Linked DNA regions of Oryctolagus cuniculus. The protein of the gene in region 1 purifies or fractionates together with the protein of each later gene. This does not show direct contact. Links are inferred from orthologs where the notes say so. Each region holds a gene or a part of one and is shown in the gene's direction. Other genes may lie near its edges.

Evidence for each region. Proteins that work in one complex are often made in the same cells at the same time.
Region 2: the proteins of RB1 (region 1) and KDM5B purify together in Homo sapiens (affinity purification with western blotting; 3 studies listed by BioGRID). This does not show direct contact. The link is inferred for Oryctolagus cuniculus from reciprocal best matches to the Homo sapiens genes RB1 and KDM5B.

Annotation. Positions count from the first base shown.
Region 1 is NC_091440.1:67,324,962-67,329,309, forward strand, and holds the start of RB1 (retinoblastoma-associated protein), read left to right. Parts: upstream 1-1,411; 5' UTR 1,412-1,609; coding exon 1,610-1,743; intron 1,744-4,348. UniProt on the Homo sapiens protein: Tumor suppressor that is a key regulator of the G1/S transition of the cell cycle. The hypophosphorylated form binds transcription regulators of the E2F family, preventing transcription of E2F-responsive genes.
Region 2 is NC_091444.1:18,514,326-18,517,973, reverse strand, and holds part of KDM5B (lysine-specific demethylase 5B), read left to right. Parts: intron 1-530; coding exon 531-725; intron 726-2,804; coding exon 2,805-2,986; intron 2,987-3,087; coding exon 3,088-3,212; intron 3,213-3,648. UniProt on the Homo sapiens protein: Histone demethylase that demethylates 'Lys-4' of histone H3, thereby playing a central role in histone code. Does not demethylate histone H3 'Lys-9' or H3 'Lys-27'. Demethylates trimethylated, dimethylated and monomethylated H3 'Lys-4'.

The DNA of each region.
Region 1 (4,348 bases):
AAGTACTCAGGCTTCTATACTTGTATGGGAAACCCAGAAGAAGCTCCTGGATTCGGACTGGCCCAGCTCCAGCCGTTGTGGTCATCTGGGGAGTGAACCAGTGGATGGAAGACCTTTCTCTCTGCCTCTCCCTCTCTTTGTAACTCTACCTTTCAAATAAATAATTTTTTTTAAATTAGACAATCTATTAATATAAATAAATACCAAGAGACAGATACACAGCTTCTCAGCCAGAGTTTTAAGGTGGTGGCTCCACTAAGTTCTTTGCTGACTTTGTGCCTTTGCACTTCCTGCTTGGCTTCTTCATTGACAGAACCTAACGGAGAAGTGGAGTGCAAGCCTTCTGCCTTCCTTTTGCTCTGTGATTTTGGTCAAATTAATTAACTTCTCCAAGCCTGCGTCTCCCTTCACAACGTGAAAGGCTAACACCAGGCGGTATACCTTAGAAAGTTCGTGGAAAAACGGAATTAACAGCCAAGTTTATTTGGGCGTGAACACTTTTGAAACCCATGCCTAGTTTTTGAGAATGTGTATTTTCGACGAACTTTTTGAAGATCCCCAATACGCACGGATTTCAAAACGTTTTTGGCACACGAATAAATCCCTCTTTTAATGTCATTTTCATGAACTTTCTTAAGTGCACTTGTACCCTTTCCCCGCCCTCCTTTTAAAGGGCCATTTCGGAGGATTCCAGATAATTACAGAAGGTGCTCCACACAGTCTGTGGTACACAGCAAGCGCTCCTTAAATAATGGGTTGGCCTAGGAAACTTCTATTCAATTGCCACTGCCCCTCCAAAAACCTCCCTTTGACGTCTGGATGGTGCCGCCTCTTTTTACATCACCATTAAGACCTTCTATAAGCTAGGGTCTGTTCATGGCCACAGCCGCGGCCTCTCCACCCAGCGATCCCCCCAAAAAGGGCAGCTATTGTCTTGCACTGCCCAAGCGCCAGAAGCCAGCAGAGTTCCACACCTACGCGGTGCTCCCCATTTGTTGTTGTTTGGCCAAAGATGCGAGGCTAAACCGAGCGGGCGGGAGGAGAGAGGCGGGGAGGGACGGCGCCGCCCACGGAGGAGGAGGAGGAGGAGGGTGAGGGTGAGGAGAGGGAGAGGGAGAGGGGCGTGCCCGCCCAGGGTGCCCTCGCCCAGCGCTCCCCGCCCAGACCCAGAGATAGCGACGCGGCCCCCGTGTCACCCACCGGGTTCTTTGTAAAGCCGCGACACCGGCCCACCGGGGGGCAGTTTCGGAGAAAACCACGTTCGGGCAGCACCCAGGGCTCCCAGCGGGGTGCCTGGACCCGCGCCGGCCTTCCCGCGCGACCTCGCGCCCCGGCCCGCGCACCGCCTGGCGCCCCGGTTCCCCCCAGACGCCGGCGGGCCCGAGAGCCTCGCGGACGTGACGCCGCGGGCGGAAGTGACGTTTTCCCGCGGTTGGACGCGGCGCTCGGTTGCCGGGCGGGGGAGGGCGCGTCCGGTTTTTCTCAGGGGACGTTCAAATTATTTTTGTAACGGGAGTCGGGAGGGGACGGGGCGTGCCCCGAGGTGCGCGCGCGCCGTCAGTTTTCGGCGCTCCTCCTCAGCTCGCTGCTCCTGCCTTGAGAAGGCGTCATGCCGCCCAAAACCCCGAGAAGAGCAGCTGCCGCCGCCGCCGCCGCGGTGGAACCCCCGGCGCCGCCGCCGCCGCCGCCTCCTGAGGAGGACGCGGAACAGGACAGTGGTCCTGAGGACTTGCCTCTGGCCAGGTGAGCGGGCACCGCCGCCGCTGCGGCCGGCACGCGAGGAGGGAGTCCCGGGGGTGCGGCGGGCGGGCGGGCGGGAGCCGCGGCGGCTGGGCGCGGGCGCATCCTCGCCGGGGTCGGTCCCGGCGGCGGGATGGTCCGAGGGTCCCTCCCTGCCTCCTCCACGGCAGCGGAGCGTCTGCGGGGCGGTGACAGAGATCCGGGATCGTGAGCGACGGGGAGAGGGCTGCTGGAGGGGTCTCGGCTCCAGCTTGACAGGTGTCGGGCGGGTGGGGCTCGGGTCCCTGAGCGAAGTGACAGGTGCAGTCTCCTCTAGCGAGACAGCGGCTCGCAGCCGACGGCTGATTACCAGCCCTCATGCAGCGAAAAAAAAATTCTTTTTTAAAGTACAAAAATGGTACGTGTGTTGGCGAGTTTTTCTCCAGTGGAGATCTGGAGTCCTCGGTGGTCGCCTGACTTTCTGTTTCGATCCCCTGCGACGCAACAGTTGGAAGTTGTTTTTTTTGTTTTTTTTTTTTTTTTTTCTTCTTTCCTCTGGGCGTGCGCTACCTCCGAAGCTCAGAACTGGGAGAGGCCCGGGAAGGCCTTGGACGTGAAGGGCAGGGTGTTAGGTGTGAATTGCCCACGGGCTACACGGCCGCGAGGCGTTGTGGGGTTCCCTAAAACAATGTGTGGAGGCCTCGAGGATTTAAAGCCGGCTGTAGACACTGGTGGAGCCTAACTTTCTTTACACGAACTGGCCTCTGGGCTAAAGTTTCGTTGAGACATTTAGTGAAGCGCTTGAAAGTTACCAAACTTTCCATTTTCTTTTTCTTCTTCTTCTTCTTTTTTTTTTTCTTCTGATGGAAGAACTCGCTTGCGTGTTTGCGAGGCCTCCGCATGCCTCGTTATTACATTTTGCCTTTCACTTTGAGCCAGCAGGGATGCTTGGTGTCCCCTCTTTTTGGTTTTGTTTGGGTTTGGTATGAAATTAATGGTGTTCTTCTGCTCACCTGGAACTCCGCTGTCACCCCTTCACCCCTTAGCGAGTGGAATCTCTACGTTTAAGCAAGTCCTCATGGACGCAGTGCTACGTGACAGAAAGATGCTTATTGTATTGCAACATCTTGATCGTGAGGCTTTACAGTGAAGTTGCTAGTACAGAACGGGCAGAGTTAGGATTATTGTCAGTGCTTGTTCTAGCCATTGCCCGGGAATGCCGCTGGTTTTCCAGTGGCACTCCCTCCCCAGCTCTAGTCTATCACCAAGTCTTGTTTTTGTGCCCCCTGAATAGTATCTTTCCTTCCACTCCATGGAATCTTAGCTGAATTCAGACAGAATTGTAAAACATCGAAATAGAATTTTGGAAATGGACTCTGGAAAGCTATTAAAAATTAACATATTTAAATGGACTATCTTACAACGTGTCAGTTCAAAATAATACTCACTAGTGAAAACAAAAACAAAGCCAGGTCTGAGGGATATGCTGGGAGAAGATATCACTTTAGTTTTTGATTAAATGCCATTGTACTTGTCCATGAAAAGAGCAGTAATGTATGCCTGTTCTAAAGAAGCACTTTCAATTATTGTATGGTAACAAGAAATGAAGTTCTGGCCGTCCCCTGGGAGAAGAAGGCTTTTGTTTCTTTCATTTTTCATCCAGCACAGTATACAGGCAGACCTCGGAGAAATGGCAGATTCCATGCCAGACCACTGCAATAAAGTGAATATCGCAATAAAGCGAGTAACACGAAGTTTTTGGTTTCTTTATGCATTTAAACTTATTTTTGTACTATACTATAGTCTCTCAAGTGTGCATTAGCACTGTGTCTCAAAGCACAATGTACATTCGTTAATTTAAAAATATTTTATTACGAAAAATTGCTAGCAACCACCCAAGCTGTTGAAAAAATGATGCTGATAGACTTGCTATGTGCAAGGTTCCCAAAACCTTCTATTAAAAAAAAAATGCAGTATCTGTAATGTGCAGTAAAGCAAAATACAAGAAAATGAAATATGCTTGTATTCTTAAATGATGGAATTATAAAAAATTTTCCTACAAGTCAAGGATATACAAGATATCATTTTGTTCTTGATTATTCATACCCATAAAGATTTTCATTAACATAGACCCCCTAACTATAGATTCACTACAGCCATGTACCACTTAACAGAAGGGTCGTGTTCTGAGAAATGCACTGTTAGATGATGTCGTCATTGTGTGAATATCATAGAATGTACTTAACATAAACCTTGATTATCTTGCTCAATCACCCCAAATGGCCTCTTGATGCATCAAGATGTGATAAATGTAAAATATATGTGACTGTTGCAAGTGTAACACAATATACTGTTTTATAGTAAACTTTTGTTTTTATAAGTAGAAGGAATATCTAAAATAACAACACAAAAGCATAGTCTAGTAAATCCCTAAACCAGTAGTATAGTCTTTTATAATTATTAAATATTCTTTTATATAAATACCTATGAATGGCAGCACAGTAGGTTTGTTTCCACCTGCATCACCCCAAACATGTGATTAATGCTTTGCACCAGGATATTAGGATTATCATAGAATTATCAGGTAATGGGAATTCTTTACATTTCCGTGGGACTACTGTAACAAATG
Region 2 (3,648 bases), on another chromosome or scaffold:
GCTCAGGGTCTCTCTGCAGTGGTAACTGATCCAGGGCAGGACGCCGCATTGTGTGGCACCTGTTCTCATGATCTACAGCTCGGCTGTCGGACGGCTGTCGTCGTGTCGTTTGGTTTCAGTTAGTTAAAAAGTTCGATTTTGACATTGCTCTTGTTTTTCACTTGCCTGGAGAGACCTGTCAGGATTGAGTGTGTGTGCTGTTAAGGCTGATAGATTCTAAGTTCGTGATAGTGCGTTTTACAGTTGTTTCAGGAAATGTGCAAATGCAGTTTCCAAACAGATGCCACACTGGTGTGGACACTAACACATTGTTACAGCACTGATTTTTACCTGAGTGACCTAATCTGTCGTATCTTTGCAGGGTAAGATAATAAGGCCTGGACTTAGCTGGGATTCTGGCATTCTGATTTTAGGGTTGATAAATAAGTGCTACCATGGAGTGTGATATTTGGTAGTTCAGTGGTACAACCCATAAGTCTTTGCAAGTGGAGGAAAGATGAACTGATGTTTCCTTCTGTCTTTTGCCCCAGCTCCCGCTAGGCCGGCAGTGCGTGGAGCATTACCGCCTGCTTCACCGTTACTGCGTGTTCTCCCACGATGAGATGATTTGCAAGATGGCTTCCAAGGCGGATGTACTGGACGTGGTAGTGGCTTCAACTGTTCAGAAGGACATGGCCATCATGATCGAGGATGAGAAGGCTCTGAGGGAAACTGTCCGTAAATTGGTAAGATTTTTGGAAATCCAATTTCGTGTCATTGGGTATTACATAATAAAGTTGTTATGCACCTTAGTGTCATCATTTCCTAATGTATGTAATTCCCTTCATGGCCATTCTGGTGGGTGTATAATAATCTTATAGTAGTTTTAATTTTCATTGACTATCTAAATTATCTGCCACCTGAACCTGTTTTCCATGAAATGTCTGTTCCAATGCTTTGCCTTTAAAAAAAAAAAAAAAAAAAAAAAAAAACAAGTCCTTAGGGACTGGTGCTGTGGTACAACAGACTAAAGGCCTGGTCTGCAGCGTCCACATCCCATCTGGGCACCAGTTCTAGTCCTGGCTGCTCCACTTCTGATCCAGCTCTCTACTGTGGCCTGGGAAAGCAGTAGAAGATGGCCCAAGTCATTGGGCCCCTGTACCCGCATGGGAGACCTGGAAGAAGTTCCTGGCTCCTGGCTTCAGATCAGTTCAGCTCTGGCCATTGCAGTCATTTGGGGAGTGAACCAGCAGATGGAAGACTTCGTCTCTACCTCTGTGTAACTCTGTCTTTCAAATAAAATAAATCTTAAAAAAACAAAATGTATTTATTTGAAAGCCAGAGCTACAGAGAGATATGGTGAGACAGGGAGAGAGAGATCGATCTTCCATTCACTGGTTCACTCCCCAAATGGTCACAACAGCTGGGACTGGAACAGGTTGAAGTTAGGAGCCTGGAGCCTGAGCTCCATCTGGGTCTCCCATTTGGGTGGCAGAGGCCCAAGCACTTGAGCCATCTTCTGCTTTCCCGGGCACATCAGCAGGGAGCACAGCGGCCAGGACTTGAACCAGCTCTCCAGTACGGGTTGCTGGCGTCACTGGTGGTGGCTTAGCCTGTTGTACCATAGCATCAGCCCCTCGAAGGTTTTAAAAAAAAAAAAAAATCTGATTCCATTTTATGGAACGTTTTGAATTACTCTTGGACATACCTCTAGAATCTAGAGTGTTGCTCTCTGGAGCCCGCCTTCCCTGTGTCTCACAGGTGGGAACAGCTGTGCCCAGGAAGCTTCAGTGGCTTTCATCAGGAACAGGCGCTCATTTTAGAAGAAGGATAACCAGATGTGGAATTCACAGATGAAAATTGGGTATAAACTGCTTGAGTCACTCCCAGCTAAAATCTCTGGAGTTAGTCCTTAATCTCACTTTAAACAGGAATTCCAAATATCTCCATTCCATCAAGGCCTTGTGTTCAGTTGTAAATGAAAGCCACACTCCACTCATGGGTGTTTCCTTACTCTTGTCTGTAACTGTCACACGTGAAAAGGTTAAAACACAGTGCTTCATGGCGGATTTGATTAGGACCAGCATTCCCAGGGCTGGATTTGGATCCGGTTCCAGACCAGGAGAAAAGGCAGTACCAGTTTGGTTTTGAATGACGAAGGAATATCCCACAGGGGTCCAATGGTGCAAAGTATGATTGAAATGTTTCCTCACAGCGTTTCGTTTAGGAAATCCTTCTTGCGACTTGAGGCTTTGCTAGTGCAGAAATGCCCTAACCGACTCAGATGACAGCCCTTCAGCAAACTTGTGCAACAGGCTGAGACCCTGCTCCATCGCATTGTTTATGCATGTGGTCTTCTGGCTGCCTGTCTTCCTCCTCATTTTTGTACTTTTTCATAGTTTCTCCAGCAGCGTCCCTCAAGCCCTACATAGTATTTCCTTGGAAGTCAAAAGCATGTACATTCCCTTTGATCTGTACCCAGAATACAGAGATGGCAGATGGCTGGCTTGCAGTGGGATAGACAACTAACCTCGGTCGTCCAAGAGTCCTCTTAGCTGTTGTCATACTCAGACCAAAATGGCCAAACATAAAGCCCACCCTACCTTGTCTAAAAAGGGATTCTCCCTACGTGAGTGAAGTCTACTCACTTGCTTCTGTTTGCTGGGTCATTGTTACTTTGTGTCCTACACATCTGTAATCATGCATCTCTACTTGGGTTAAGTTGTTTTTTTTTTTTTTTTTTTTAATTCACCTCCTGCAAGCTTGTCTTGGGGCTGGGAGTTTTACTGTTCTTTAGAAGCCTCTTAAAGTAACCTTTATTCTAGGGAGTGATCGATTCAGAAAGAATGGATTTTGAGCTGTTGCCAGATGATGAGCGTCAGTGTGTAAAATGTAAAACTACATGCTTCATGTCTGCCATCTCCTGTTCTTGTAAACCTGGCCTGCTCGTGTGCTTGCACCACGTCAAGGAGTTGTGTTCCTGTCCTCCTCATAAGTACAAGTTGCGGTGAGTAGGAAGAATGATTTCACAGTGGCGCTGCTGTTCTAGGCCTGGAACGTGAGGTGGGGTACGTCTCTCTGAAAGCTAAGCCTGGGATTCTGTTCCAGATATAGATACACTCTGGATGACCTCTACCCCATGATGAATGCACTGAAGCTTCGAGCAGAGTCTTACAATGAGTGGGCCTTAACTGTGAATGAAGCTTTGGAGGCAAAAATCAACAAGAAGAAAAGTAGGTGGTGCAGAAAGTGTGACTTGGGGGTCAGCAGTTGAAGCTGATTGGGATGTCGCCAGCTATCAGCAGAATGGACTACGTGAAGCCAGCCTGGCCTTAACCTTGGCTAACCCTTCCTTGCAGCTCGGCAGAGAAGGTTTTAGACCAGAAGTGGAGGAGGCAAAACCTCGCATTTCATGTAGAACCTTAGAAAATTAAAAAAAAAAAAAAAAAATTACGTCTTAATGAAAAAGACAGCATGACATGCTAGTTAATCACTTTTGAATTCCAAAATTAAAGTCCTTGTACTGTACTTAGTACCTTTGAAAGTCACTGCTTTTCTTCCCATCTCTTTTGCCTGTCTCTCAGGGGAAGAGAACAGTGTCACTTCCTTGAGCACACTGACCACTTGCCGACTACAGAATAAAATCCAGGGGAAGAAGTGGGCACGCCC